4 linked regions of the Lepisosteus oculatus genome follow. The protein of the gene in region 1 interacts with the protein of each later gene in a pairwise test. Links are inferred from orthologs where the notes say so. Each region holds a gene or a part of one and is shown on either strand. Other genes may lie near its edges.

The links.
Region 2: the proteins of ube2wb (region 1) and rnf26 interact in a two-hybrid assay, tested with the Homo sapiens proteins (2 studies listed by BioGRID and IntAct). The link is inferred for Lepisosteus oculatus from reciprocal best matches to the Homo sapiens genes UBE2W and RNF26.
Region 3: the proteins of ube2wb (region 1) and amfrb interact in a two-hybrid assay, tested with the Homo sapiens proteins (2 studies listed by BioGRID and IntAct). The link is inferred for Lepisosteus oculatus from reciprocal best matches to the Homo sapiens genes UBE2W and AMFR.
Region 4: the proteins of ube2wb (region 1) and xiap interact in a two-hybrid assay, tested with the Homo sapiens proteins (2 studies listed by BioGRID and IntAct). The link is inferred for Lepisosteus oculatus from reciprocal best matches to the Homo sapiens genes UBE2W and XIAP.

What each region holds. Positions count from the first base shown.
Region 1 is NC_090701.1:53,366,673-53,373,837, forward strand, and holds the start of ube2wb (probable ubiquitin-conjugating enzyme E2 W-B), read right to left. Parts: upstream 3,171-7,165; 5' UTR 3,082-3,170; coding exon 3,067-3,081; intron 2,604-3,066; exon of another isoform or gene 1,677-2,603; intron 1,442-1,676; exon of another isoform or gene 1,358-1,441; intron 1,028-1,357; exon of another isoform or gene 1,012-1,027; intron 1-1,011. UniProt on the Homo sapiens protein: Accepts ubiquitin from the E1 complex and catalyzes its covalent attachment to other proteins.
Region 2 is NC_090718.1:11,997,578-12,004,919, forward strand, and holds the start of rnf26 (E3 ubiquitin-protein ligase RNF26), read right to left. Parts: upstream 3,203-7,342; 5' UTR 3,099-3,202; intron 2,707-3,098; exon of another isoform or gene 2,513-2,706; 5' UTR 1,948-2,512; coding exon 553-1,947; 3' UTR 1-552. UniProt on the Homo sapiens protein: E3 ubiquitin-protein ligase that plays a key role in endosome organization by retaining vesicles in the perinuclear cloud.
Region 3 is NC_090715.1:3,658,003-3,666,259, reverse strand, and holds the start of amfrb (E3 ubiquitin-protein ligase AMFR), read left to right. Parts: upstream 1-5,077; 5' UTR 5,078-5,459; coding exon 5,460-5,708; intron 5,709-6,555; coding exon 6,556-6,648; intron 6,649-7,415; coding exon 7,416-7,580; intron 7,581-7,959; coding exon 7,960-8,112; intron 8,113-8,257. Other genes in the region: serine/threonine-protein kinase VRK3, read right to left, coding at 60-115, 560-697, 961-1,068, 1,472-1,612, 2,330-2,477. UniProt on the Homo sapiens protein: E3 ubiquitin-protein ligase that mediates the polyubiquitination of lysine and cysteine residues on target proteins, such as CD3D, CYP3A4, CFTR, INSIG1, SOAT2/ACAT2 and APOB for proteasomal degradation.
Region 4 is NC_090703.1:41,702,310-41,710,544, reverse strand, and holds the start of xiap (E3 ubiquitin-protein ligase XIAP), read right to left. Parts: upstream 3,262-8,235; 5' UTR 2,964-3,261; intron 1-2,963.

The sequences.
Region 1 (7,165 bases):
GGACAGGACAAGACAAGTGGGGAGAAGTTGTTGGGCTGGCTCATCTGGGACAACAATGAGCTAATGCAGGTGGTTAAAAACCTAGCTGGACTGAACAACTGCCCTCCAGGTGTCGGCAGTGAAAGACCAGTCAGTGCAGGAGCTCAAAGGCTAAAGCACATCAAAAATGACTGGCTGATAAGCGAGGAAGTAAGGAGAGCAATTCCTCATTCACCCTGGCAGTACAGGGGGGACAGCCGTGAGCATTCACCAAGAGAAACAACTGGAAACTCTATACTGCGTGGGTATAAAGCTGAAAACAATGAAAAACACAACGGTCATTCAGACAACTGCCTGAAGATATTATTAACGGCAAGACTGCAACGTGAAGGTAGAAGGTAGAGTTATCCTATTCCAGAACAGTGGACATAAAGTAGACAGCTTTGCCAAGCTTTCGCAAAACAAAAAAAGGCAAGAAAAACTAATTTTCTAACTAGTGACTGAAAAAGTCAAATGAGTTTTTTTTTACCCATCTCAGGGTTCCAGGTCCACACAGGGCTACGCGGTCTAAAGTTTTCAAACAACTCACCAAACAGGAGTTATAGGAATAACTGTTTTTCATTAAAAGAACGAGGGCGTGCAGAAAGGAAAAACTTATAAAGTGGGAGAAAAAAAAGAAAAGATCTGAAATACTCTATAAAGCTCACATATTCAGGTAAATGCTTTTAAAAACAGAACTATTCCGAAAAAATCAGGGATCAACATAAGACCTTAGGAGTCACAATCAGCCTTACAGTAGCTCCTAATGATTGCTTGAATTATTTAGAATATTTTCTTTTAGAGTAGGACTAATCCAAGACAAATTTTTGAAAGGTGTCTCTTGTCAAATTTGTTGATTACATGAAAGCTCCGAGGCTCCCAGAAATAACGATGACAACTATAAATAGCTTCTGACCTGGGGGCTGCAGTACATGCATTTCAGATCTTGGTGAATTTTGATGCCACACTGCTGGAGTATAAGGTGTCTTCCCCCAAAGGAACACGTCCACTGTATGCAAGATATGAATCAATACATTTCCAAGGTGAAGTCATAAGTCTGGGTCACCTTCTTCGGATACAAGAGGAGCAAAACGCATTTACGGTGTTACAAGAATTTTCCAGGCAAAAACACTTTAAAAACTGACTGAGACCGTAATGTAAACGATCTGTCACAGATGTGCAATTATCGTGTTTTAGCTTGACTGTTTGCACAGTACTTGCATCACTATCCAGTTTGTCCCTATTGTTGTTTTTAAACCCTATTGTATCCTTATCAAACCCCAACAGAATCAAAGTTACACTCATCACACGAGCCTTACTGTCATACATTTGTTTTTACCTTATTGTATCTCCTTGATGGATCCCTGTACTTAGTCACAATGCAAGCTCTATAGATTCTGTAAATCACCCTGGATGAGGGCACCTGCCAACCAAACAAATTAAAAGTGTCGGCGATTGGAGTCACATTTATTCCGGGTTCCCAGCTGGAAAGATAAGTTTCAGAACAAAAACAGCAGTAAAAATGACAAAGAGCTGCCACGTCTAACTACACGTAAAAAGAAAAAGCAAATTCCTCCTGGCTTTTTGTTAACATGGGTTACACTTACAAAACAAGGCTGCAAGAATGATTTTACTAGTCTCCAACAGAATGTACTCACATCTTCAGAAAAGCATAGCGATTGTGACGGTATGAAATTTGAAATGGCAACTGTTTAACACCCGATCCAAGCTGCCTTGGTTAAAAAAAATAGTGTAGGACTGACAATCTCTAAAAAGTTTCTTCTAATCTATGATATGGAGACACCCTTGCTAAAAGAATACAAGACCAGTCCAGTTATATAAGCTTTTAGCAACCAGTTTGAACTGTGCATACTGACTTTTCTCTACCAAAGACCTCAAAACCTCCCAAATCAAAAATGTGTGGAAGATGACACCAACAGTATGGTGAGGAGGAGTGGGGGGCATTATTTTCGTAGGCTAGTAGGAATCTGGATCTATAAAAGTCAGTGCTGAGTGCAGCGGTCGTGGAAGTCCGTCTCCGACTAAAAGCATGTGTCTGTGCGTGACAGCCCTTCCAAACACAAAGAGGCAGACACCGGTAGGTGCTCTGTGGTCCGAGCGATCTCAATCACTAAAAGCCTAGCAACGAAAAAAAAAGGGGCCTCTCTGAATACAGCACCCGTGACAACACCACAGAAAACTTCTGCGAAGAAGGTCATTGTGACGGATTTTTTTAAAAATAAACACACGGCGTTCCCGACGCCAGAGGCATCATGAGGAATAAACTCATTATTCCAAATGCAGGAGCGCCGGGAGCGCTGATCTGTCCCGTTGCTGGGGTTGATACAAGGGCCAGAGCTACCCCTGAAGAAAGAAAAAAAAAACACCACCACCTTCACCCCCATTCAAGAACCATCTGCCGTAACGAATATTTTACGACCACCGCTCATCACTAATTTCTCGAAATTAGAAATTGCTCCAAAGCGTCGAACGACCCCCCCCAGCTAGAACATCGACAAAACTCAAACGCACACTTGTTTTGTTTGTTTGTCTCTTTTGGGAAACAAATGCACTGTGAAGCAAGAGCCGCCTACGTCGTTATTCGTCTTCAGTCGTCTCCTTGCAGAAACTCCAGGAAACATCCTGGTTTCTACTTTGAAGATCCCCTTAGTCGTTGTTACGTTTCTTTTTTTTTTGGCCAAAAAACAAAAAAGAACAGCACACACTTTAACACGCGTCCACACATCTCCGATGACTAGCTGGACACCACGTCCCGATCTCCAGGTACCGCCGCGATCACCTGTGCGAGCACACAGCCCCGCCGCTCCAGCTAGGTGATACACCACCAACACGGGCTGCGGGCAGCCAGGCGCCTCTCTCCGCACTTCCAAGCCTCCCCCGGCCGCCACTTCCGACTCCCAGGCTGGCAGAGACCACCGCCGGGCACCCGCCTGCCTCCGCCGCGTCGGGTGTCGGAGGCAGGCGGGCGAGAAGGAAAAAGCGGACCCAAACTACACCGAGCGGCTCCGGCTCCCGTTGGACACTCACCTGCATGGACGCCATGTTGGAAACCCCCTGCACCAGAGCGAGAGACGCAGGCTGAGCTTTACGTCAGGGCGTCACGTGGACCGGGGGCAGTCCTGTGTGTACAAAACAAGGACACCGGGCCGGGCGTGAGGCAGCTGGGGTTTTAGGTCTAATACTGTCCCGTCTGGGAGGGACTGGGAAAGAGACGCAGAGAGAGAGAGAGGAGGTCGTTTCAGGCAGGGGCGGACGTTATTATTTGAGTATAGCAATGGATACACCAGAAGAAAAACCGAAACACACGAATGACTTACACTTTTGCTGATCAGCAAAATGAAACCTGATTTTCAGAACTCGTATTTCATTTCATTACACTCTCCGGTGTCGATGTGTTTGGACGCAGGTGACGCCTGAAAGTCCTACTGAAAATCCTGAAGTGAAAGGGTAGTGATCCCATTGTCTTATGCAGAATACCAAAAAGGAAGATAAAAAAAAAGTGGGTAGGTTTTTACTGACGTTTGATCTTTTACTCCTGTGGAACTATCCAAGGTAAACAGGAAAGTCTCGTTAAAAATCTGGACCAAAGCAAGATAATACTTTTTGCTTGGGTGCTATTTGCTGTGTCTGTTCTGTGCGAAATCATGGGTTGTCTTGACTTTAATTCTAATTCAGGGAAGTGATGAGTAATAAGCAACCAGAGAGCAGCTTGTAGTCTCACATGGTGAAGAAAATAGTTACCACAAAAGCAGAAAAATAGTTCCCACATGCTACAAAAAATCATGCAACTATGTGCAAGTCTTATGTAGATTTGCTTTTCAACTGCACTGGCAAAAATAAACGATGGTTCACAAAGCTCAGAGGCCAGATACCTGTAGTGTGCACAATTCTAATTGCCAATAAGGAAATAGCCTACATACTGAAAAAGACTTGCAGCCAAATGGTAGCTAAACGTTTTCTGTCGCAAACTTTTAAGAAGCTAATTGGGCAGCACATGCACATGGTGACTTGTGCTACTGCCTCACAACTCTATGGTCCTGGTTTTGATTCTAGTTAGAGGTGTCTGTCTGTGGAGAGTTTACATGTTGTCCCTGTGTTTGCATGGCTTTTCCCTGGTTACACTCCCCCTCCAAGGGATCCAATTTAGGCTAGACCAATTTCTCCAGATTGTCCTTGCTCAGGCCTTAATCCTAAACAAGTAGGATTCCTCTGCCAGCTGTGGGATTTGAACCAGCAACCTTCTAGCCATAGACACAGATCCTTAGCCACAGTGCCACCCCTCCACCTTTATTACCACACCTGAAGAAAGCACCACAGCCAAAACGTTGTGTTTCTTTTCTTCTCTTTTCAGCATGGAATACACCTTTATTTGTTCCTTTGCAGCCAATGTATGCTGATGCAGCTACCTACAGGACTTGAACTAAGATATATTATGTTAAGTAAATGAAAGATTGGATCATAACTTGAAAAGTCCACTTGAAAAGGTATCTAAACTTACGTTACATATCCATGGTTAAAAGTCTTCAGACCGAAACTACACTACAGTTCAGCAGTTTCAGCACTGTCTTGGCTCAAGACAAGGAATACATGTCATGGACAGTCAAATGCATACCGATAGAGTTGTATTAAAGAAAAGGACATAAAAACGAAAACTGTGTTGTACAGGATTCTGTACTAGGGGTTATCATAGCTGAGGAAAGTTCCAGAAACATAGCAGAAAGCTTTTCACAGACTGATAGAGAGGGTTACAGAACAAGACAGTCTACCTTCAGGAATCTTGTCTCAGCCTCCTGTTTGAATTTGGTTTTATCAGTAGTATCTGAAAGTAGGTTGCCTTGGAATTAATAGAAAAGCCTGTCATTATGGGTGGGGTACAATAAATGCTTTTAAAAACCTTTTAGATGCTGTCTTACCTCATGGATGATGTACCGATAAACTAAGAAGAATCTTTGCAAATCTACTTATACATTGAATAGATTTACATTTGTTGGGTATTGCAAACACACCTTATCACAAAGAAAACAGATGACATTGCTGAATGCCATTTTCCTTAGCCAGTTACTTTATTTACAATAATTGGTCATTCAGGTAGATGGATGTTTGCCCATTATGCCTTCCGACATGTGGGAGCAGTAACATCCTGTTGTTGTTACTGTATCATTAGTTGTTTTACAGGCCAGGGTTGTTAGCCTTGTGCCCAACCTCCAGCATGGAGGACCTGGCACCAGACGTGGGACACAAACCCACTACCCTGAGATAATGAGTCTCATGCTCTACCAACAGAGCTAGTCGGGGCTTCATTCAGGTAGGAGGCTTTTCTAAATATATTTTATGAAACATAACTTTATATGATTCAGAATGGATCTATTCCTTAAACTCAATGCAGTCCTCCTGACCATCTAATTAGGGAAACAAGATTTGATTGTGTCAGGTCAATGTTACTGATTAAAATTTCAGTTGCACTGGGTACTATTCAATAATAGCTTAATATGTAAGATCTGTTTCTTATATACCATGCACATACACCTACATGTACACCTAGAATAAGTGAACTGAACAATCATCTTTTTTATTGAGGGCAGCATTTTTACATTATTATTTATATTATAAGATATTTTGTTTCAATTAAAACTTGAACGTTGCTTTTGTGTTGCCTTCAGTTGTGAATTAACTGAAATGCCTTTGAAATGCATGTTCTCACAATACGTGGAATAAGACTTGTCAAGCTTGAACTGACCACATTGTGAAGGTGAAAGTACCAGTAATTCCAGAAGTACAGGCGTTGTTTGAAAAGTATGACACGTCTTCAGGTCCTCAGCATTTCCCTCTCTCCCACATACCTGAAGCAGGCTTGTCATTCTTTCTACTTTTCTGTGTGCAGTTCAACTAGATTTATTTCAGTGCTGGAATCATGTTTTGTTACAGGTGGAAGAACTGCCCCGTGGCTCAGATAAATAATCCCTTATTAATGTTCCCTTAAGTGTCTCATTACCTGTCTCTTGTTCTCTACAACCACCATCTTTGTCCTTTAGTGTAAAACTTTTTCACAAGCTCCAAACCTACATATATTAAACACCTTTTCTGACCACCCCATCATCTCATATCGCCGACCACCTAATCTGTGTGACCTTCTTGTTCACATCTCCCTTGACCGCCCTCAACAATCATCCACACCAGGTACATTCCCCTGCAACAGAGCTCGCTGTATCACCTGCAAGTACATATCTAACACCACACTCATTCAAGGTCCCTCAGGACAATTCCGGATCACTCAGATGACATCTTGTATCCTCCACAACCTTATTTACTGTATCTCTTGCACTAAATACCCAGCCATCTACATTGGGGAAACAGGGAGGAGACTGTTAGGGCTGTGAAGATTAAAGATTTCTCCAAGCCTATTGTTTCTCATTTCACCTCTGACAGCCATGATTGGCCACTCTCTGTCCCCTGCTCCCGCCTCGCGCTCCTCCTCTCTCCCAGCTTTTGTTCTCCCGCTACATTACCTTTGGCTACTGCCCTGTCTCTCTCACACCTGAAGAAGGCACCATGGCCGAAACATTGTGTTTTCTTTCTTCTCTTCTCAAGCGTGGAATAAACCTATTACTTGTTCTTATATAAAACACCATCCTTATCAGTTGATCTAGAACAAAACAACTCTTTTTTTCTGATGGTTTGAATTATCCTGGCTTTACTTTTCAGTATTGCCAACTATTCATACTAGTCCAGAAGGTATGAACCCAGTGGTATAACTACACCCCTTTAACAAGCCAGTGTGTGCTCCTGCTGTGCAGGGTGATTGCATGAGGGCTATTTCTGCTAATCCAATTCATAATAGCCTTAAAAGGACATCTGAAACTGCTAATACTGAGAGTTTCTGGCTGAGGCCCAATCCTGCATGAGAAAGCACAGCTCAATGGAATTCATACTGGATTTCATTGAGGAAACAGAGCACCACTTGATAGAGAAGGCTATATTTTATCATCATTATGTATGATGCTGCGTCATTGTCCCATACACATGCTTATACATTTACATAAACTACTCTTTATATGAATTTCATAAGTGTCTAAATGAGCATTTAATGTATTTTCATCATCATCCACCCATTGTCTATAGCTGCTTC
Region 2 (7,342 bases), on another chromosome or scaffold:
ATCACATTCAAAAGTGACAGCCAGTGGAGAAGGACAATCAGATGGTGAGAGCACCAGGCAGGAATGCAATAGGACCGGCCAGACTATATTTCCGTGCCAAAAAAGAAGGGACTACGGCTTCTTACAGATGAGTTAATGCCGTCATTTACCATATATACACAAAACAAGAAAATGAATAATAATGTAAAAAGTCCATCTCAAAACGAGAAACAGTTTGAAAACCTTGCACACCTTCCAGAAATGGACTGAAGTAAGATGATAAAATACCGATGGAACTGCATTTTCCAGTCCTGGCTTGATCACTCACTTGGAGTGACATCTTGCTACTTGTCTACTGATGGCTGATTAACCATTCAACTATGTAGCTGCCTTTTAGAGCCAGAGATGGAACAGACTGGAACATCTACAAGTGTAAATTAGTGTATGAGAGGCTATCTAATTAATTGAGAAGCTGGTTCATTAACCTGCAATTCACCCTCCTGCCAGCATCAATAGCAGGCACTGCTTTTCCATTAGTGTAAAAACGTGCTCGCGGTCCTCAAGCCCATCGGCTCAGAGATATACGTCCATGGTCTGCAGGATCATCTGGCGGCAGAGCGGGCAGTTGTGCTGGTAGATGGGCTGGCGCAGGAGGATGTTGGCGCAGTCCCGGCACAGGCACAGGTGCCGGCAGGGCAGCAGCAGGACGGTCTTGACGCAATCCTGGCATATCACGCACTTCTTCCTCTCCTCGTGCTCCTTCAGCATCGTCAGCAGGCTGTCTGGGGGCGGCCCTCTGTACCCCTCAGCTGAAGGGCACCTCTGCAAGGGTCTGTCCATGCTGGAGCTGGGGGTGGCAGAGGCAGACTGGGTACTGTTCTCGGGGGGCTCGTCCCCCTGCCCGCCCGCATGTTCTGGGGGACCTAGGGCGTGCTGAATGAGGGTGGCCGTTCCGCCCACTGGAGGTCCTTCTTCCTCCATGACCCCTGGCTGCCTGACCTCCCCGGCGCCAGCCCCCACACTTCCTCCCGCTGGCGTGGCTGCCTGCGTAGCCCCTCTTCTGTGCCCGGCCCGGCTGCCCGGCCAGGTTCCTCGCTGCCAGACGTCCGCCTCCACCACGGCCTGCGCCCGCGCCAAGGCGAGCAGGTAGAGGCGCTGCAGGACCCGCTGGAGGCGGTAGAGGGCGGGCACGGTGCTGATGTAGTGGAGGGTGCGGTCCGCCCCGCGCCGGGACAGGTCGGGGTTCAGGTAGAGGGTGGTGGCCGAGACGATGCCCAGGGTGAGCACCAGGCCGTACAGGTTGAGCAGGAAGACGCTGATGAAAATATGGCTGAGGGAGCAGAGGAACTCCAGCGCCACCTGGCAGGGCGTCCACAGAAGGATGGCCGTGCCCACCAGGCTGCTGGAGAGGTAGCTGAAGAGAGTGAGGGCAAGCTCGAGGGCCTTCTGGAAGGGCCCGGACACCACCTCCCACGTGGCGGCCGCCAGGGCGAAGCAGTTCTGCGTGCCGATGAGGAGCATGTTGACGACCGTGTTGACGAAGTAGAGGACGAGGCTGAGGGCGATGCCGCAGCCGTCGCAGAGCTGCCGCAGGACCGACTGCCCCGACAGCAGGCCGCGGTGCAGCAGGTCCCTGGCCCGGAGGAGCACGTGCGAGGAGAGGTGGCCCACCATCTTGAAGCTCTCCAGGACGCCGCAGAGGGCCCGCAGGCAGCCGCCCAGCGCGTTGAGGGAGCCCTGCGCCAACCCCACGACCGCCTCCGCCGCGGACAGCAGGCCGAGCAGAATCAGGTTCCAGCAGCCCAGCAGCGCGTTGGTGATGAGCGCGGGCAGATGGTAGATGAAGGAGAACACAGCCCACAGCAGCCTCATCAAAGAGTTGACGACCCAAAAATTCAAGTCCAACATGAAGCACAGCAAGTCTATGGATCGCCCGATGAAGCAGAACACGAAGTACACCAGACCCATTTCTTGCTTGGTTGCTTTCCTGATTAGTGTGGGGTTTGGAATGTTTTACGGATATTCAGTAGCTTCCTTTTATTTTTATCGGGATGACACAACCACACGTGCTATTTTCTCTAAATGCTACATTATGACCGTGAAAGCACTTGTGTCTGTTTTATTCCTGTGCGATTTTTCTCTCCACTTTCAACCCATAGATCTTTTGCACATTTACAGTTCCGATTCTTAATTAGAGGTTTTGTCCGTTTACAAAAATACAAGGGAATTAAAATAAGACGGAAATCGTATACATTGCTCCTTCAAAATTCTAGTTTGAGAATTAAAGAACCTTTGGAAACGTAGACAACCGTTGAGGATTTTACTAAACGCCGATACTCTAAATCAACATCTACGCAAAATAACCCTTTGCAACGGCATTTAGTTTTATCTTAGACGGTCAATACTGACTTCCCAATCCAAACCTTCTGCACTTCATCAATCAGCAAAGCAGCTAAGAGCTGGAAGGGGGCAGGAAATATCTTCAGTCTCTTCAGGGACTACGATGGTTTATCTCGAAATGAACTCTTTGCTTCTGGAGGGGGGAAATAAACAACGACAGCCACGATCAAACTTTTTATGAAACTACCAAACAAAAGTTAGATTGCCCTGGCCGCGGCCATGTTGTTTTCGGTTTCTATCAGCAGAACGTTGAGCCGATCGACGAGGTGCCAAGGAGATAGCCAGGGTGAAGCAAGCGAGCGCCGATACAACAATCCTCCACGTTATCTATAGTACAAGGTGTGCAACCGCGCGTTAAATCAACGTGCTCTAAAAAACAACATGCTAGACACACTCCAAACAAAAAGGATAGCTGAAGTAAGATGTTCATTAATCATTCATCACAGGGTTTCGCACAAACATGCATAGACGTATTCATGCCCTGTCTTTATACCACACAAGTAGTGTCCCTGTAGATGCAGGGCGATGTATAAAACATTAATCTGCGCAGTACTAGTTCAGGTATGTGTGTTGTTCATACGTCTAATGCATATACTAGGTCTTTATAGAAGAACAGTGTTCCTAAAATTATTCCTTATGCTTTATCACATCCTAATAAAGTTATAATATAATAATCATAAGCTTTTAGTACATGTGTGCGAGGTAAGGGTTAATCCCACCTGGGCTGTGATTAGTCTGTTCAAATGTAGTTTTGCGGTTTTGTTTTCCAAACCGGGGAGTGGCAGAGGCTGAGAGGCATCTCTATTGGTTCTTTCAATCGTAAACAGGCGGGGCTTCTTTTGAGCAAGAGAATGTCTTAGCCCTGTTCCAATTTTCAAATAATAACATGACGAAGACTTGTTCTGTATGGTATTGAACGCTAGGTATAACTAAATATGTTCTGGATACCGAGCTCGTTAAAAAATAGAGAATGTGCAATCACGAAATTAATAAAACATCAGTAAGAAATAGAATCATTTGGGACTTAAAGGAATTTAATACACACATTTAAACCGGGATTAAATTAATTCAATTAATTTTACTCGAGTGCACCTTTAATAATTCAAATAGTTGATTCGCTTTAAACGAAGTATAGATTTCTTTATCCGATTGTTGGCTGTATTGATAACGTTATATTTCGTTCAGTGTTTCTGTATTTCGTTCTCCGATTTACTGCAGTGCAGCATTCCTAAAGTACAGTTGACGCTGCTCATTCAGCTTCAATACCGTGAATTAACTTCAATGCAGTTTTTTAAACAATAACTTCTCTCATCACAACCCATGACGAATGCTGGACTGGGAACAAAGTTTCCGGTATATCATTCCCAATACTTCTCAGACAATAGCTTACAGTGTAGAGTGAAGTGATGTGTAAAGCACAGAGAAATGTGATTGAGCAGGCGTTCCCAGTCCTGATCCCGGAGATCCAGAGATTGTTTTTTCTTCCGGCCACCTCTCAGTTACAAACTGAGCCCTTATGATTAATTAATTGACTGAATTAATTAATTTAAATAGAATACATTTAAACTGGTTAACTCTTTTCAGCTCTTAAACGTGTTGGAGGTTACATTTTAACTATTGCATTTCCTAAATTAAATAATATCACAAACCTATGAGTAAGAAAAAAAAAACTTGCTAATATTCCAGTCAAGCAGCGAATTAGTTCAGGTAAGGTTTCAATGAAATAATGAAACTTTGCAGGAATGTGTGGACCACCAGGATGAGGAAAACCTGTACAGGATGAGACCTTGTAGCAGAGAGGGAAGGAAACCTAGAGAAAACTGTAGCAACAGGAATGGGTGGTAAAAATATTTATGCAAGCACAGCAGAGTTAAAGTGCAAGGTACACTTTCATGAGGGTCTTTATACAGCAAAACTATTCTAAAGCAAAGGTTTCTGGTTTTCTTCCCACCAGAGTGCTTTAATCCTAATTTGAAATCATTGTTTGCTTAATTGGATTAATTGCAGCATTTCCTTGTTCTTAGGAGGAAACTGCAATGCTGTTTTTACATTTCGGGGGTATAATGAATCGGTAATGAAACTACCAAGAACACTCTAATGTGTACAACCTCCAATTTACATCACAACAGAGACAAAGTTTCAATACACGTGTAGCACCACACTGCCATCATTGTCTGTGATTCAGAATGAAGCAACAAAGCTTCTGGTGATGCAACAGCTGCCCTATTACATTGTAAACATGCTTTAGACCAAGTGAACATTTTAATGAAGCCACAAGAAATATGTATTTAGATACTTTTTAGTATTGTGAATAAAGAACAACCAGGTGAAATACACTCATAATAATTAACGTTGTTAGGAGACCATGTTTCTCATTTGTTTACAGCGACTAGTGAGCAGAAAGGGCCACTTTCATGTCACAATTCTCACAAACTCTCGCTCTCGCCCATCGAGATGCCAGCGATTTCTCGTCTGCCTGCGACAGCCTGGTGACCATACAGTACTTTCACAAAGTTCACGATTTTACCTTTTGCAATACCATCAAATAATTTGTTTTGTCCCCGAGATTTAATAACGAGGCTGTGACCTTAAAACCCAGCTGGATTTCGGTGGTTGAGGACCAGAGTACAGCTCCCCTGACAAAACGAGTTCATCACATCAGACACTTTCTCTACAAAAAGAGCTCGCCCGCATACTTGCTTGAAAACCAAGTAATTCCTAAAACATTTCAAAGCCTACACATGCCCATGTTTGGTCTCAGAAAAAAAATATTTGCCTCTTCCCCTGCCCTCTGAGAATATCAAGCTATTTTTGAGTTCATCCCGGGCAGTCAGAAAGTTTTTTTTTCTGTATGTTTTTTTAGACATGATGAGAACCTTTCTTTTGGGGGTAAAAGAGGCACTAAACAGTCTAGTCGCTTGCCAAGATGTGGGCTCTGCCAGTGTGAATCTGGCCGGTCTGCAGATTCTTCCATGATTGTCGATGAGCTGGCTGCCCAGACTGTGAGCGTTTGAGATGTCAGCATCTGCGGTCTCCTGGCCTCTTTACAAGTTCAGAAGTTCTAACCCACTTGCTTGGCTGTATATTATTAATTTTCTCTGTCTTTCAGCATTCCTGTAATACAGTTCTACATGGTGCAAATCTGATTAACATGTAAAATTTTATATTACAGCTCAGGGGCTAGAAGATTTTTTTCTTCTTGCATAAGGAAAGAATGTAGAGCAGGTGCTGAGCCATTATTAACTTTCACGCTGAAATATTGTTTTATTTTTGCAGCTGAGAATTCCTGTTTTTCAGTCCATTGTCAGCTTTGGCTTGATCTTGTGTATATAAAGGGAAATATATTAATATTCATTCATTTTACAATTTTACTAAATATGAATGAGAATATGAGGTATCACTGCCCAGCTCAACTACTCACACATGGACTTCCATCCATACATTTTCTAAATGCTTTATCCCCTACAGGGTTGCCAGGTTCCAGCAAGCAATGGGTGCAAAGAAAGATACACACTGGGTGGGTTCCACTGCAGGGCAGACAGACACAAACACACACTCTCAAACATTAGGGCTAATTTTCCCAGAAGCCAATTAACCCTACACGAGGAAACTGGAGCACCCAGAGGAAACCCATATGAACAATAGGAGAACATGCTCCGTGTAGATATTGAGGAATTGAGCTCATGGCCCCAGCACCACGAGGTAACAATGCTAACACCTGCTTCACAATGCCGCCCACACATGCACTAAATACATGTATTTATTTGGACAAGATACACAATCACAGGTATTTAACAACAGCACCCTTTCATCCCACACAACCTGTGCATTTAATTGATAGTGGGAACCTATCCTGCACAAAATCTAATTATAAGTTACAGAGAGGAAACAAAACCCAATCAAAGCCTATAATTAAAATTAAATATATAACTAATAAGGAAGACAAAAAATAATTTCATTCTTATGACAAAATGCTTAAGTATTTGCACATTGATCAGCACAAATAAAGATTAGCTATAGCAAAGACTTTAGATCAGGAGTGTTAACTGCAAAATGCATGAGTAAGACTTCCCTTCTAAGATTCTGTACAGCATTAGTCACCACCTTAACACCTTTCAACTACACTTGCTAGTGAAGAGATTACTCTCCAGTTTTAGTCTACAGTTCAATATTGGTTGGATTTTAGACATTTTGACCAAAAGATCACACAAAAGTGAGGGTAAATGGTCTTATATTAAAGTAACTTTGCTCTCCTCAGGCAGTGTGCTTCCCCATCCTATACATTCTGTATATGAACAGCTGTAAAGCCCTTTTGAGGAGAGACAACCCCTTACGTTTGCTGATTACTCTGTCATTGTCAGTCTCCTATAAGACATTGACACTGATGGCGGAACAACTCCTTCCTTCCACTTAATGTGTCAAAAACCAAAGACAAGATAATTTATTATAGAAAGTAATGACCAGCTGCAAAACCCACAGTCATTGAAGAGCAAGAAATTGAAACTATCAACAGTTACAAATATATTGGCACTATTGATGATTACAAACTAACCTTTGAGGAAATATACAGACGCCAAATATAAGAAGAGCCAACAGCGATTGTTCTTCTTCAGAAAACTGTTTTAATGTGTAAACTACAACATTAACTTTATTCTATAGAACTTCCATTAAAACTGTCCTAACATTCACTTCAGTAGCCTTGTATGGTAAGCTTAATGCATGCAATAAAACAGACTGAGCAGGATTCTGAAGGTAGCAAGGTGCACAACAGCTACAGCTTTCAGATATCTATGTCAAACTAATACCGGTGAAGGCCAATATAATCATTGACTGTCATGACCACGCCTTGCACAGTGAATTTGAGCTCCTTTCATCTGGCCATCAGTTATCTTTTATTCCCACAGCTATTAACCTGTAAGAAATATACTGCTGCTCTGGAATCCATCCAGCAAAGATGGATCCC
Region 3 (8,257 bases), on another chromosome or scaffold:
ACATTAAACAGTCTCTCACTGCAAGACTCTGCCATGTCTCATCTGAAATGGGTACTTACTAGTTTGAGGGTGTATTTGTAGTCAGCTGTGGGGGCTCCAGTGGTAATCTGTTGAACTGAAAAGAGGTTAAGGAACAGAAGTTTTATTTTAAAGAGGTAAACAGAGGGATGATTCAAAGTTCAACAGTTTCCTGTATCAAATCAACATGTTTCTATTTGCACAGTGTATGTCGGGCGAGAGCGACTAAGGACAAGGATTCCACAGCAGAGATTTATTTTTCATTTCCAACAGTTCAAATACCATTTAAACTTCAGGCTAGAAAATGAGCAAACCCTGCTTAACAAGGTCTAAAATGACTATATTCATACAGCAACACGTATAAAACAAATTGAGCTTTTACTTCACATATCATTATAAACTGGCATCTCGCACTATTCAGAGTGACACAAGGACAACACTGACGATCAGCGGGGCAGTAAAGGACTGGTACTGTATATTATGAATAAGTCAGCTGAAAGAGCACAAAGGTCATGTCCTGCACTGCTCCGGCCTCGCTCACCTCCGTACAAAAGCTCCGAGTCGCTCTGGCGAAGCAGCTTGGTGAGCCTCCACTTCCTGCCCGCGGTGTCCGTCAGCAGCTCGCTCTCCTGGAGGGGCTCGATGCACATCCTCCGCGCTCTCTTGGGCGTGCTTTTGGCTGAGGATTAGGGAAAGAACGATGAAACACTGGGAACTCTGCAAAATCTGCGTTCTGACATTCGATTGCCCCGTCTTCCTCTCGTTCCCTGTTCGGTCCCACGTTGGCGTGGTCTGCACAGCGGAGATGCAGGAAGGCCAGCAGGGTTATTTCCCAAATCAGTTGTACTGGAGCCTCTGAAAGGCCTTCTCTATCTGCAGCGCGTGCCAGCATTGTGGCTGAAGCTCCCCCCCCCCTTTTCCACAGCCGAAGTGTCCACTTACCCCCAAGGGGGGATTTAGGAGAGGGTGAGGCCTCAGCGGTGCTCTCCTCTTCCTGCTTGACTCTTGGGGACGCCTGGCGTTTGCGCGGTGACAGCGGGGCACGGCTAGCTACACAACAGAGACCACGCGTCAGGGCCGTGAGCCAAATGGCTGCTGTGCTTGAACGTGCCCATGTCTAGACGCACAACACATTCAGCAAAGGGAAAGACAAGGAATGCTGTACATGCAGCTGTGCACCACTGCGTTACCTATCTATGAATTGGCTTCATTACTCTGCTCTCCTCCCCACTTATAGCTGATGTGTGGTGAGCGTTCTGGGGCACTATGGCTGCCGTCACATCATCCAAGTGGATGCTGCACACTGGTGGGGGTGGAGGAGATCCCCATTACCTGTAAAGCACTTTGAGTGGGGTGTCCAGAAAAGCGCTATAGAAGTGTAAGCAATTATTATTATATTATTACCGCCCAGTGTCACAACTCACTGCTGCTTCTGGCTGGCCACCCTGCTTACCTCCAGGGAGGCTCTTGGGGGATTTCGATAGGGAGGCAGCTGTCCTGGAGCTGACCTCCTCTTCCACCTTGACCTTGGCGGCCGTCAGCCGTGTTCGGCGAGGTGGAGTGAGCGATGGGGCGTGAGCGGGGCTGCTCTGACCTGCAGAGGAACGAAACACACGTCAGGGTTTTGAAACAGCTGCCCTTGCCCTTGTACCCTGCAGGATGTCTAATTAAACATGCACAGGAGTATGGGAAGGAGCAGGGCAGTGAGGGAAGTCAGAAAGAACAGAGCACAGTGATGTTTAATGAGTCAAGACTCAAACCATGTGAAGACTTGGAAAGCAAAGAGAAAGTGCAATAAAAGCACAACGCTTGAAACACACAGTAAACTACAATATTGGCCCACCAATTTTCACTAATAGCCTTCGTGACATTTTACTTTAACACCGTGAGTTACTCAAGAGTAGCATAATTACCTTCAGAAGTGAAGGATGAAAAGTAACTAAGAGTAAGTGGGTTCATCTTTACTGGAGTGCTATTTTCACAATTAGTGAACAGGAATGAAATGTTGGAAATGCATTGGTTAGAAACTTATTAAACTATATATCTACAGTATATAATGAGTCTCTATCGAGATTTAGGTAAATTGCTCTGTGTAATTCTTAAAAGACACCACAGACACGTCTACTTGCTCTTTTTTGATGGAAACCTATTTACTCCGAGATGGAATGGTAACCATTCCACAGTCATTCAAAAGCCAACCTCCCCCCCGCCCCGTGTAACTCAAATCAAAAGCACGGAGACATCCAAGCACAAGCCGCTTCTCCGAGCGGTGTCTGTCTCTTTCAGCAAGGCGCACGCTGACGTCCCGTACCTGGGGGGTCGCTGGTGGTCACCTGTGAGATCGCTGAGGCTGCAGCCTCTTCAGGGTCCTCAGTGGGCAGCTTCTGTCCGCAGGACGGACAGAACTTGAAGCCCGCCTGCAGCTTGGAGCCGCACTGAGGGCAGTAGTGAAGGATCATGGTGCTAGAAAGAGGAGGAAAGGTGCAGGCTGAAGTTCTGCTAACTGTGATGACTGAACTTCCTTCATGGTTCTAATAATTATTCCTTACACGTCTATAGCGCTTTTCTGGACACTCAACTCAAAGCACTTTTTTACACGTTTAGTTTGGCCCTTAAATATAAACACTTACAGACGATTGCTTCTGGGGGGGTTATATAAAACAGTTTATCGATTTAACTGACGTTTTCATGAAACCGATGATTGCTTAACGTGTTCCTTAATACAAAACCCCGGGTTGCGAGACGTATTTAATTTGTTTTAACTTATTCAGTATGTCTCACATTGTCATAAGCTCAGCGTGATCGACAATTAATATTCATTGCACAGGTCCCTACAAAGATTGACCACTTCTTGTCTGTTAAAATGAAATACATGTTTGTATTTAACAAGACGTACAACAATCGCATATGAAACACTGGTATGTCACTGCAGGACTGAGAGGCGCTGGCTCGCCCTGATTAAGACAAGTATTAACACCTCGGAAGCAGCAGAACTCAATTGCACCGCCACTCAAGTGAGTTTTACTGTGCAAAACAGGCTGCACAGTCACCGAAAAGAGGGCAGATTGTACCTCAAGGTCCAGCGAATCCACAAAAACCGATATAACTTTCCCTCGCCAAACACAACCGTCAACACTCCTACTTGAAGGACTTATCAGTTAACCATGTTGCACGACCAGCTCCAGCCCCTCAGGAACTGGGCCGCCTCGGCGTCACGTGACAATAACACCGCTGTACGTCACAGGACGGGGCGCCGCCTGGGCCAAAATGGTTTGCGCGTCCCGACGTAGCGAAGGCGTTGAAAACGAGACGTGCTGCGATTCGCAAGCGTGACGTTCAATTAATATTTTATAGTTAGTGAAATTTTTGTGACAGACGGTAACCCCTAATTGCAGACACTGCTTTTGTTTTGTAGCCGACTAAGCCACCTCTAGCTTAGTCATTCTCAGGATCTTAGGACCCTTTTCTCTCACAATAGGTTCCTTTTATTAATGAATCACCAGTGTCCCCACAGACAAAACACTTATCCAACATAATTACACCTTTTTATTACAGTTTCTCAATCTACACAGGACCTATGACACTACTTATCCACCAGAGGTACTTCCTCTCAGAACAGTTCCAGGACCAAATGCCCCAAAGGAAAAGTCCGTGTGTCAGACACTGGTCAGTCCACGTCAATTTAAAGTCAGCCTAGTCCCAGAGACCAGCTGTCCCTCACCTGGATTTGGTAACTTTCTGACAATTTGACTTTCTGTTGAAATAATGATTAATACAAAAAGCTATGTAATGACAGAGATACAACAGTCTATGCTGTATTCGTTGGACTATTGGAACAGTTGGAACAGTGTCAGGTCCTGAAGGAATGTTTTTTTTTTGTCTTAACCTATGAAAACTCTCCTGCTTGCCTTTGGGAGGAGAGGGGAAACAGGTCTGAAAGACAACATCAGAGCTCATCATGTCTCTGGGGAGAATGAATGGCACCAGCTTCTAATCTCGGTTTTTCTCCAGCCAGGCAGTTCTGCTTTCAAGTCTCTCTTAAAATATTTACTCCCAGAGTGATCCAAGCTGCCACAGCCTTTCTTACGAAATGGTTCAGGGCCGTCTGCTCTTCGCCACTAGCCGACACCAGTTTCAAAACCGAGCATTTTGCATAGGAGATCTATGAAAATAAGAATTTGCATAGAAAATCTATGAAAAGTAAGACTCTGGCGACATATATAAAAAATATTCTGAAATAAGGGGACACAAACCCTTATCCCCTGCGCTCACGGAAGTGATGCGAGTGATTTTGAAATTCAAAAAGTAAAAAAAAAAGATAAGTCTTACATTATAGAACTGTGTGTTGCGGAACTCATCATTCCCATAATTCCCCATATTCATTATTCCTTAATTCTCCTCTTTCTTTTTTGTGGTAAATTAGTAGGATTAATGTAAGAACTTTATTGGATGAGCATTTCCAAACTTAAGAATAGTTAAAATTAATTGTTATTGTAACCTAAAATATCGATCACAACAATGGATTATCCATTAAATTCTAAGAGAGTATTTGGAAATGTTTTTTTTTTAGTTTCTATTGACTAATCTGTCACGAATTAGCGACTCTATGGCAGCACAACCGGAAGGAGGGCTTGAGTGACGCTGACGCAAACCGGAAAAGAGGAGCTCAGATGGAAACTCCGAGAATTAGAAACTGGAGACGGACTGTGGAATAAAAATAAACACTGCCAGACTCGTTTTGCATCTACTGAGAGGACGAGTAGAGAAAAGAGTGGAGGAGACCGAATTTGTAAAAAAGTACGGAGGTCGCTGACATAGTTTGTTCGACCCTGGCCGGTGCCAAGTCAACTAAACCTTACCCGCATCACAGTGGAGGGAAAACGTATCAGATGGACTCTTAAAAAAGTGTATTTAATCTTAAAATAACGTCTGCATCTAGTCGTCGGGGCCGCGGTCCTCAAGCAGCTGTGAAACCGTTGTGCTGTCAGCCTGTCGAAGCTGTTGTGTTGTATAACAGGGCCACGGAAGGATTGTGCAAGTCTGCTGCTGAAGCAGTAACTGGATCCATCTGGAAACACTAGTAATATCGAGGCCAGAGAGTAAGAAAAAACCGCCCCGTTTTTACTCATTAGCAAAAGCAACACAAGTGCCTGCAGTTATCCGAGAAAATCATCAGGATTTAGCAGGGTTACAACACCCCCATGTCGCAGAATGCGATATATCGACAACAACTTTGAACTGGCTTATCCTCATGTAGTCCGTCCGGCCTGAATCTGTCACTCTTAATTAGTTTGACTGGGTTTTTTTTTTTACAACGTTTTACTTCAATAAAAAGAACCAATTTAAACCGTTATTGATCGCATCTCCGCGGTGTCGAGTCCGTGAAACAAGGTATTGAAACCGATTGTATTTATTGAACTCGGAGCCGGTCGAGCGCCAGGATGCCGTTGCTGTTCCTGGAGCGGTTCCCGTGGCCCAGCCTGCGGACCTACACGGGCTTGAGCGCGGTCCTGCTGGCTGGGAGCATCCTCAGCGCCTACAGCACGGTGACCGAGCCGGGCTACAGCCTGCCTGAAGCCGGAGACCCCCACCCCAGCCCGGGTCAGGACGAGAACCAGATTGACGGCGTCGGGAACGGAGTCGCTGCAGATGTGCTGTGGTACCTCGTTTCGGACAGCTTTTTTGTTTGGGTATGTAGGTAGACAAAACAGGAATCCAATGCAGATGGGTATTGTGTTTTACGTTATTCATTTTAAAGGGGTGGCATGTGTTCATTTCTTATTTTCAAATTAAATTGACAGTGTCATTCTAACTGTGATGCCGTTGTTCGGTTCCCGTACTCCTGTTGAGAGTATTATTTATTTATCTGCTGCCTTTCAAGTTAAAGTATCTCAAGGTGCTTTGGTCACCACTTTATAAAAATATATTTCTGCTCTGGGATCAGCCTAGGTAAGACCTTTTTTGTCTTGGAACAGAGAAGACTTCAAGGAGCCTGATTCAAATTTTAGAAATCTTCAGTATCAACAGTGCAACATGAACCAGAGAGCACAAATGGAAACTGTGTGAAAGTGCATTTAAAACGGTAAAACAGAAATAGACACCTAACAAGCCAAATTGTTTGACTGGACTCGTTTGGCTTCTCGCCATTCTTAATATTCTGAAGTTCCAGGGTGCAGTCCATGAATGCCAAGTGATTTAACTAAAATTAGGACTAATCGGAATACCAGCAGTGCTCAAGTTTCCACAGGCATGGGAGCTGATGAGAACAGTCAATGTTTATTTGTTGCAGAAAAAAAAAAAACATGACTTCATGTCAACTGAACAATTCGATCGTGCAGGAGCTTGGATTAACTTCAGATTTTGTGCAAACAGATGTTGAGTGGGTTTCTGTAACCGTGCTAAGTGGCTGTATGTTTACTGAGCACATTTGTTGCTTTACGCTAAACTACTGAAGAGGTTACATGTAAGGTGATGCCACATGGATTACAGTGTAGATTGTTTTTGTACCTGTGACTCTGTTTTACCCCCACAACACAGGTCCTGGTAAACACAGCGTGTTGCTTCCTGATGATGATTGCCAGAATGATTCAGTACATGGTGTTCGGCCCCCTGAGAGTCAGTGAGAGGCAGGTAATGAGAATCGGATTTCTTTTCCTTTTCACACCTGGAAAATTGAGAGGTCTAAAATTCATACTTATGATAAACTGTAGTGATTCAATTTTAATTGTGCGCAAAACTAAGCAGGCACCTTTTCTGTGATTTTGTTACGCAGGTATGCTCCTGTTTTGAAAATGTTGTGGGTTTTCAAGACATCTAAGTAAATAAGTGTGCAACAGCATGTTTACACAGTTACAGCAGAGTGCATCAGTATTGCATCACGAGATTGTCAAGAGGATTCCGGTTTAGTAAAAAGGCTGCATGATGTCAGTCTTCATGCTGAGATACACATATAAGTTACATTAGGCTTAACTCGGTTTTCTCAAGTTTATTTAAGTGGTAATGTGGACAATAAAGTCTGTTCTGTTAATCATTCACAAAACGCCTAGAGATTTGGTAACTGAACAACTTTAATCCCCTGAGAAGCCTCTCAGACAGAGCTTGAATGTGATGGTTTGGTCTGACTTTTCTCAGTCTTTTAATTATTTAGCTGTGAAGTTTATGTATTGAATGCAACCTTCTGATTAATTTAAGTAATGGTTGAATCTTTTTTATGGACTGAATTATTATAGCTAATAATTTTTAACTTTATCAGCCACGTGCCATTTTAGCTCCAACACCAAAAGAAATGCCAGCTAAACACCGAAGCAACCTTACAACATTCTGTGATTGCACGAGTGTTAGCAAAGCTGTTAAAATTGTTGATGTGAGCCTTAGCATCTGTCCGTCAATCTCTGCAGCACCTGAAGGACAAGTTCTGGAACTTTATCTTCTACAAGTTTATCTTCATCTTTGGCGTGCTGAATGTGCAGACTGTGGAAGAAGTGGTCATGTGGTGCCTTTGGTTTGCAGTGCTGGTCTTTCTGCATCTCATGGTCCAGCTCTGCAAAGATCGGTTTGAATATGTAAGTAGCACTGGACCATTCAAAAAGTCAGGTGTGTGCTGTTATTTGCTATGCAGTCTGTGCCCCGCAAGGCCAGCTCGTTAGACAAGCGATCTTTTGGAAGTCCATGAGGTGTATTTCCCGTCTTTAGTTTAACCCTCATTTTTAATGTCTTATGACTGGTGTCACCTTATAGCAGCTCCTCTGGTTTAGATGGTGGGATGTGTAAAGCAATCTGAAAGTACGGCTATTAACTTTTGTTGAAGGAAATCTGCACCATCCTGCAGACGTGCCAAATCCTTGCATACAGTGATTTTGTCACTGGGTCACATGAAACGGTCTTAGAAATGGACGGGAGGGGACAGAACCCCATGTTCTTCATGCTCTGTGTGCTCCCCAGCTGTCGTTCTCGCCCACCACCCCCATGAGCAGCCACGTGCGAGTGCTGTCCCTGCTGGTGTCCATGATGATCTCCTGCTGTGGGCTGGCTCTTGTCTGTGGGCTAGTGGGGCTGTCCCATGGAATGCACACTGTGGCCTTCATGGCTGCTGAGGTACGACCAGTCTCCTCCTAAATTACTCAACATTGATCGTCTCTCGAGGATAGAGCTTTCTCGGCATTTTGTATTGAAAGAAATTTCAAGTAATGCACATAATCCCACAAGTTTTGCTTACAAGATATAAGAGTTTGAAGTGTAT
Region 4 (8,235 bases), on another chromosome or scaffold:
CAACTAGAACTAAACTATTTCCATTACAGGGACACATTCAATATAACAATTATATATGACAATATAAAGACTGATAATCTTTGAGGCTTTCAAAGTTAATAAGCACAACAGAAATATTGTAATTATGCATTATTCAAATTCTTATTTTATGTTCACTAAAAAGTTAAAGTAGGTTTTCAATATATTGTTAATTCTTCTCTTACATATTGTATAATATGTTAAGTTCTGGGCTATAAGATATACAATACATGACAAAAAATAAATAAAAAAGGAACAAGAGGATCACAATTCCCCTTTTAATACACTCAAAGGGGAAATTCATTTTTCAGCGAGTATTGTTTCATAGTTGGAGAAGTTCCCATAAAAAGGTATTTGTATGGGCAGTATAAAGGTGCATTGAAGAGAACAACATCTTGTTTCCCTGAGATCAGTCCTATATCCATTTTAAAGTAAACTATTTTTATTCACTGACTATAGCATGAATTAGTTTTTTTTAAAGTACTCCTCTCAAATCAATTTAGGTCTATCCATGCAGTCGTACTATAAATTGCTGTAACTGCAGTTATAGTTTATCCTGCTTAAGTATATACAGTAATCATCAAACTGCCACCTTCATTAGTTTTTGAAGTGTGCCACTTTACATTTTGCTCTCTACTCCATTAACTGTCTTCTAAATTCCCCAAACTCTGTAGGATCTGGACTGTAACATTTTGAAAGTCAGCTGTATTATTTAACATTCTCATGCAAAAGACACACTCAAAGAACATGCAGGTCAGGCACAATGAAAAATCTTCATGCTGTAATGCTGTAAGGAAACTATGGATGCTTAACCACATGACAAGAATGAAATAGGTAGCAACAGGGGTAAAGCAAATTGCTTAAGTTAAATTGGACATTTCACTCTGAGTACTAGAGGGATTCTACTACTCACATCTCAAACTAGCTTTGTAGATTTTGTTGTTCACAGAGTTTTGAAAATTGTTCAAAATATTATCATAGTCATTTATGAAATACATTCTTGACTACACTAAAATACATACACAAACAGCAATTTCAACGAGGTAGGTGTTGTGAGTGGGCACTGCATTTTATGAAGACTAGGGAATTCTGGTGTAAGAGACTTAGATGAGAAATGATGTGTACCTAAGATTTAAACAAGGGTACTGAACCTAGCTGCTAGATTTGTTAGTAACCAGCCGATAGTACATTGTTCATCAAAGCAAATCATGAATAGTGTAAGGGACACAAAGTACAGCCCAGGAATGCGGCACTCCCTTACAGTCTCTTAACACACCTGGCAACCTAAGATCTAAACTAATAAATTACTGGATAAAATAATCCTTACTCTCGCTTTAACATGTAGATTATTGTTAGAATTTAATAAGAACTTAAACGTGTCCAAGCATACAAATCAATATTGTGTAGTTGCATGAGCACTAGGTTAATTGTTTAGCAACAACATACCCCGATCAATCACAGCCCTTGTTCCCACACTTTGAACCTGTAACACGTGTCCTTTTCAAAAAACAAACAAACATTTGATCCTTCTAAAAACAAGTTTCACACTGCAAAATGTCACACAAACCAAATTCATAATAAGTGACACAAAATGAAACCTATTTTGAAAAGGAGCAACATAATTTTAACTAATCTGGTATCTTCCAATAAGATTAACTTAAAACTGTAATAAAACTAAAAACATTGGTAGAGGTCTTACAGACTCTAACCTATTATTACAGACCTATAATAAACTCACACACTGGTCATTTTTAATTTACTGTAAGCAAAGTTAGATACAGCCAATACCAGAGCCATAACAGCTCAACTACTTAACCTATAAAACTCTCCAAATTTTGTAGAGGGCAGACTTTTCTTAAAATAATGTTATGTATATCTATTGTTCCTACAAAGAGACAACACTACATAAAATTGCATTTAGATAAACATGCCTCAGTTAAAACTCCTGTTGTTCTTCAGTTTAGTGTTTAGGGGCTCTGGATTTTTAACTGGAAGATGGCAAGTTAAAATCCCATCACAGTTGTACCATTGAGCAAGGTATTCAAAATAATGAATTGGCACTTCCAGACAGTAAATAAGAAAAAGGTCTGTCTATTGATTTACCTGGTTAAATATTCAATAGCATTTTAAGACCCTAATGCTAAGAACCCTGATGTCTCTGTTGTTAAAGACATAACACCAATAACCTATTAATAAAACATCTTGTGCTATTGCAGAATTTTCTTTAATATTTTAAATGAAAACCCAACTAGATCTTAAATGTCCAACGGCACCATGCGCTTGAAAGTGTTGAAAGCTGGATTACCGACACCGCCAAATTCAATACACTGTAAGTACACCAAAAGCCAAAGTATACACTTCAGCTTCTAGTATTAATATTGTTCTCGTATTTACATTAAAGTAACCCTTAATGTTTCTCATCTGTAGGTAAAGTAATCTCACCTTTCATACATGAGAAATTCGTATGCAGTCTGTTTCGTAAGCGGTAAGCAAGCTAAATCTATATTTAAAACGCAGGAAACATTCTTGCTCATTATAGGGAAAATATCTAGAATTAAGTTACTGCTATAAAAGTAAGATATTCAATTTGACAGTGTTATTCTTATCATGTTTAACTAGTGGCTGAAACTAACATGTTACCGAAAGTACCAGGGATCCCTTCATGGTTTCGAAACACTAACTGAAAGTGTCCAAGTCCATGACATCTCCGACGACCGCAAAATCTTTATAAATTTCTATGCTATATTTCAGTAAAATGCGCATTCTCATTTCGCTGTATATTTCCGAACGTATTCCTGGTACTATCCGGATTGTAATGCAAAGGAACAAGGTGATGTACTTTAAACAATTATGTCCTATCTGGCACCGTTTCCCTAAATAAGGCATTTAAATACTGTAAATTTTCATGTTCTCAATAAACATAATTGCTACACGTTGGTACTTACCTGTCACAGTGTGTGTCCCCTTTCGCGTCCTTAGTTTGATTCCTCTCCGGGTACCTTCTCTTTTTTCGCTTGCTTTCCGTACAATTTATGTTAAAGAGCCGGAAGTTACGCATGTGACATCAAGCGCTTTCAGGAACAGTGGGTAGCATGGGGGTTTTCAAACCTTTTTGATTGGAGTGCCCCTTGCAGAAATTCCCTCAATAGTAGTCATAAATTATAGGCAAATGTCTGTCATTATTGTATCTCTAGTATTAAATATCAATTACTAAAAGCAAAACGGTACAGCTGTATCATAAGCGCTACCAGTGTAGACGTATCACGAAGGTCTGTATTTTCCCTCTTCAGGGCGAGTAAGAAAGAGTGTTCTCGTTCTCTCTTCATACTGTGAACAGGAAGTTATCCGTAACTTAAAAAAAAGGAACAAGCTACGTTTTAATAAAAGATGAAATATTAAATTAAGCTTTAACAAACGCCTGCCACATTCCTAGATAAATGCACACGACCAGTGTTATTCTACATCGAAACGGCTGTTTAGTTTTTATAGTTCTAGTAGCTATATCATCGTGCAACTGACAGCCCACTGAAGCTAAGCACATGGAGCCTGGTCAGTACCTGGATAAGAGACCTCCTGGGAAGGCTATGGTTGCTGGTGGGAGAGGTTTTAGTGGGACCAGTAGGGGGTGCTCACCGGGTCTTTGTGGGTGCTAAAGCCACAGTATGGCACAGTATCTCTGCTGTTCTTTAGAGGAGGCGTTAAAACGAGGCCGTGATTCCCTGTGATCGTTAAAAACTTCAGGGCCTTTCTCAGAAAAATTAGGAGTGTGACCGCCCTGGTGTCCCGGCCAAATTCCCCCCGGCCCTTGTCAAGTTCAAATTCAAGTTTATTTGTCACTCCAGCCATGTACAGGTATACAGTAACAATAATTGCTTACACTTATATAGCACTTTTCTGGACACTCCACTCAAAGCACTTTACAGGTAATGGGGACTCCCCTCCACCATTGTGCAGCATCCACCTGGATTATGCAACGGCAGCCATAGTGCACCAGAACGCTCACCACACATTAGCTATCAGTGGGGAGGAGAGCAGAGTAATGAAGCCATTACTTAGGAGGCCATGATTGGTAAGGGAAATTGGGAATTTTGGCCAGGAGGATGTGGTTACACCCCTACTCTTTTCGAGAAACCCCCTGGGATTTTTAATGACCTAGGTTTTATATCTCATCCAAAGGACAGCGCCTGTTTACAGTATAGTGTCCCCATCACTATACTGGGGCATTAGAACTGGCCCCAGTATGCTGCTGGCCCCACTAACACCTCTTCCAGCAGCAACCTTAGTTTTTCCCAGGAGGTCTCCCATCCAGGTACTGAGCAGGCTCACACCTGCTTAGCAGCAATAGGTTGCCAGTTGCCAGTTGTGAGTTGTGAGTTGCAGAGTGATATGGGTGCTGGCATAAGTGGAACTAAATATCAGTGGAACTAAATATAATTCCTCCTGGTCCACGGTGCAAATACAGACAGAACACTGACATAGACATTGTAGACGGGATACATATAGTGCAAATTACAAGGCAAATACATAATACAATATACACAACACACTGGGGGGATTTAAACTCAGGTGCAAGTAAATTCCAAGGTGTTGAGGAGCCTGACAGCGTGTGGGAAGAAGCTGTTACAGCTAGTGGAGCTAGCCCATACACTGCAATATCTTTTTCCAGATGGTAGGAGGGCAAAGAGTTTATGGGAGGAGTCATGTACTATACTGGAGGCCTCTTATCAATCACAGCCTCCTAATAATCCCCATCTATAAATTGGCTGCATTACACTGTTCTCCTCCCCACTGATAGTTGATCTGTAGTGAGTTTCTGACACACGTTGGCTGCCGTCAGACAGATTAATGAAGCATTAACCAGCTGTGGTTGCTACACGTTGGTGGTGGTGGAGAGAAGTCCCCATTACCTGTGAAGTGCTGGGAGTGTAGTCTCCAGAAAAAGTGCTACTTATGTAGTGTAATCATTCTAATTTATTATTTACAATGATATTTTCTTTAGCAGTTGAGAGGGCAGTACAAGAATTAAGTGAATGTGTGTAAAATGTATGACAGAACTGTGAACCTAACAGCAATCCAAGAGGCACGTATTCTCACAGCTCTGATTATCGCACGGACCTGTAAAGAGGGAAATGGAATTCGGTTCGGAACACAAGTCGCTATAGCGCCACCTTATGGGAGCAATGATATTGCACAGCATTGCAGCGGCTTTAAATGGGATTTTTTGTTGCTGCCTTTTAGTAAACGAGTCATACATGTATAATGTATTCAAAATAATTCTCGATTGGCATTGTATTGTAACTGTTTGATCAAACACCAAAGTATTTGGTGTTTGATCCAGCTAAAACTACAGGTATTCGTATTTGATATTAATAATAATTATTATTAATCATTTGGATTATATATTTGAGTCTTCTATACTTGAGTTTTTGTTTGTTTGTTTTTTTTTTGGGGGGAGGGGGGGTCTCGAATCATTACCAAACAATGATTACATTATTCTTTTTGCAATTTAAATTTAGGCAAACTGTTTGTTTGTCTATCAACTTTGCAGAATCACAATAATATATGAAAAGAGCTTTGTCCCTTGTGGTTATCAGGTTTCAGAAGTAATCAATTGTTCATAAAACTGAAACTTCTGGGGGTAGGTTTTGTAATTGCACGGGTAAATATATTTTTTTGTCTTTAAATCAATAACAAGCAGTTGAGAGGTATCCTCTACCAGCCTTCTAGTTCCTTGAACAATAGCTGTCCCGCACATAACTATAATTTCATTCCAAGATGTCTGTAACTTTTGTTTTTAGCAATCAATATACATTTTCCATCTGGTGAAAGGTTTGTGGGAAATGTTAATTCATCAGTATTCTGTGTATACTTACTGTATTTATATTTCACAGTGTTTTTAGATGTCAAAAACCTTTGCTTTGCTTAATTACAATGGCAGCAAATGATTCTTTTCTATTAAACTTTTTTCATTGTGGCCATACTTTATACAGTGTATATCATGCAGAACAATTAGGGAATGATGCTTTTAATTAGTGTGGACATGGTCTGTACAATGCAGTTTGTAAGTTCTCTCTATGTTTGGGTGGGTTTTCTCTCACAATCCAAAGTCATACCGACTTACACTTTAATACGCCAAAAGAGAGTAGATGTCTTGGGTTAAAGTGGAAATCTGTCATGTTAAACAAAATGAGAGATACTTTAACTTTCTTCACAGCTCTTGGATCAATTTAAATATTTTATCATTTGTATATGGTCTTGATTGGAATGGATATTCTATACTTTTCCATTCATCCATTTTCTAACCATTTTATCCAGTTCAGGATCGCAGGGGAGCCTGAGCCTATACTGGCAAGCAACAGGTGGAATGCAGGGTACACCCCTGATGGGACGTCAGTCCATCACAGAGCACACACACAAACACATGCACACACTCACAGCAGGGCCAATTTTTCCAAAAGCCAAAATAACCTACCAGTATGACTTTGGGCTGTGAGAGAAACCCCACCCTAGCATAGAGAGATCTTACAAACTCCATCGTACAGATCATGTCCACCCCATCTGCAGTACTGAGAGGCAGCAGTGCCAACCACTGTGCCACCATGCAAATATAGATTTTTGTTCAATTACAATATGTAGCATTAAAAATGAAATAAAATACACTGCCTGAAGAATTATTACAATGGGATAAATGTCTTTAGCTATATGAAAAAGTTCAGGCCAGAAGATTCAGCCTACAGAAAACTGCACAAAATACAGCTTGACTTCTTTGTGAAATTTTGCAGTTTACAAGCAGGCAATTATATGGGAAGTGGGAATCAATAACACACACTGTGCAGGTGAGTGTCCCAAATACCAAACCCCCATTTTTAAGCACTGAAAAACTCGGGCTGTGAAGGCTGAACACCTATCCTTGAAGTGGCAGAAGCTTAGCATGGGAATGGCATTCTAACAAGAAACCCATAAGATATTCAGGAAAGGAAAAGCAAAGGAAGTGTAATTGGAAGAGAGAGGACACAATGTGCTTGGCTGGCTTCCTGAGATATGTTAACAAATAATAAAAACATCTGTTAGAACGAATAACCTGTTGTAAAATGAACAAGCTTTTGTGACACAAATAAGGTAAACTTAAGCTGCTGCGTCTGCTTTTAATTTTTGAGATTTTTTTGTGTGATGGTAGACTTAGTCACCGTCCACTATCCTTTTCTGCAGATCGAATAAATCTGGTTCTATTGAACTCCCACTCTCATATTTTCTGACTCCTGGTTTGGATTCTAACAGTTTTTTGGCATTGTGAGCGGGGTTCCCCAAGGAAGGAACTTTCCGAAGATGGCAACCTGGTGCTTTCTAATGGTGAGCACTGTTTTTTACCACCTTCAGATAGGGCTTGGGGAAATCTACCTGGCTGCTGGTTGGGGAGAGTTCCGTTGGGAACTCAACACACCTCAACATTCTCAGAACTCAGCATTTACAGAGGGGCGAGTTCAGGCAAGCATTCAGTGAAATAACAGATCTGTTGTGCTGTTGTGTCACACAGTAAGAACTGTATGGTTGAACTTCGTGCAGGGGTTGTTCTCGCACTGTGTTACTCGCACTGTAGGACCAGGTGTCGGATGAACTGCGTACAGTTAAAGTGCAGTAGGACTGGGTGACAGAGAGCTGTGGAGTTAAAGTAGTGCGTTAGGACTGGGTGTCAGTGGAGCTGTGTGCAGTTAAAATCGTGCGGTAGGAATGTGTGTCAGTGGAGCTGTGTGCTACATGGTAGAATCGGGGGTTGGTGGAACTGTGTGCAGTAATTTTGACCATGTAGATTGTGCGTGGCTTTGTGAGTCAACTGAGCAAGACACCTGTGCAGGAACTGGGTGCAGTAGCAGTGTGCCATACCGTAAATATCCCAGAATGAATAAACTCAGTATGCGATGCAGAAACATAAGAAGGTTAAAACATGAGAGAGGGAAGCGTGTTTGTTGATAGGATGGCAGTGTACGTCAACTGCTGGAGTGGGGATCTGGTTAGATGGAAGAAAAGACAGGCCACGGTTTTTATTCTATGTGGAGAGACCTAGAGGTCAAACAAATAATAAAACAATTGCAAGATGAAAATAATGCCGTGTAGCCACTGCGTTCTGGAAACAAATGCAACACCTAGTGAATATGAATAATGAATTGTAGCACTAAAAAAACTTACAAAAAATGTTAAAACTAATTGCTTAAAGATGTG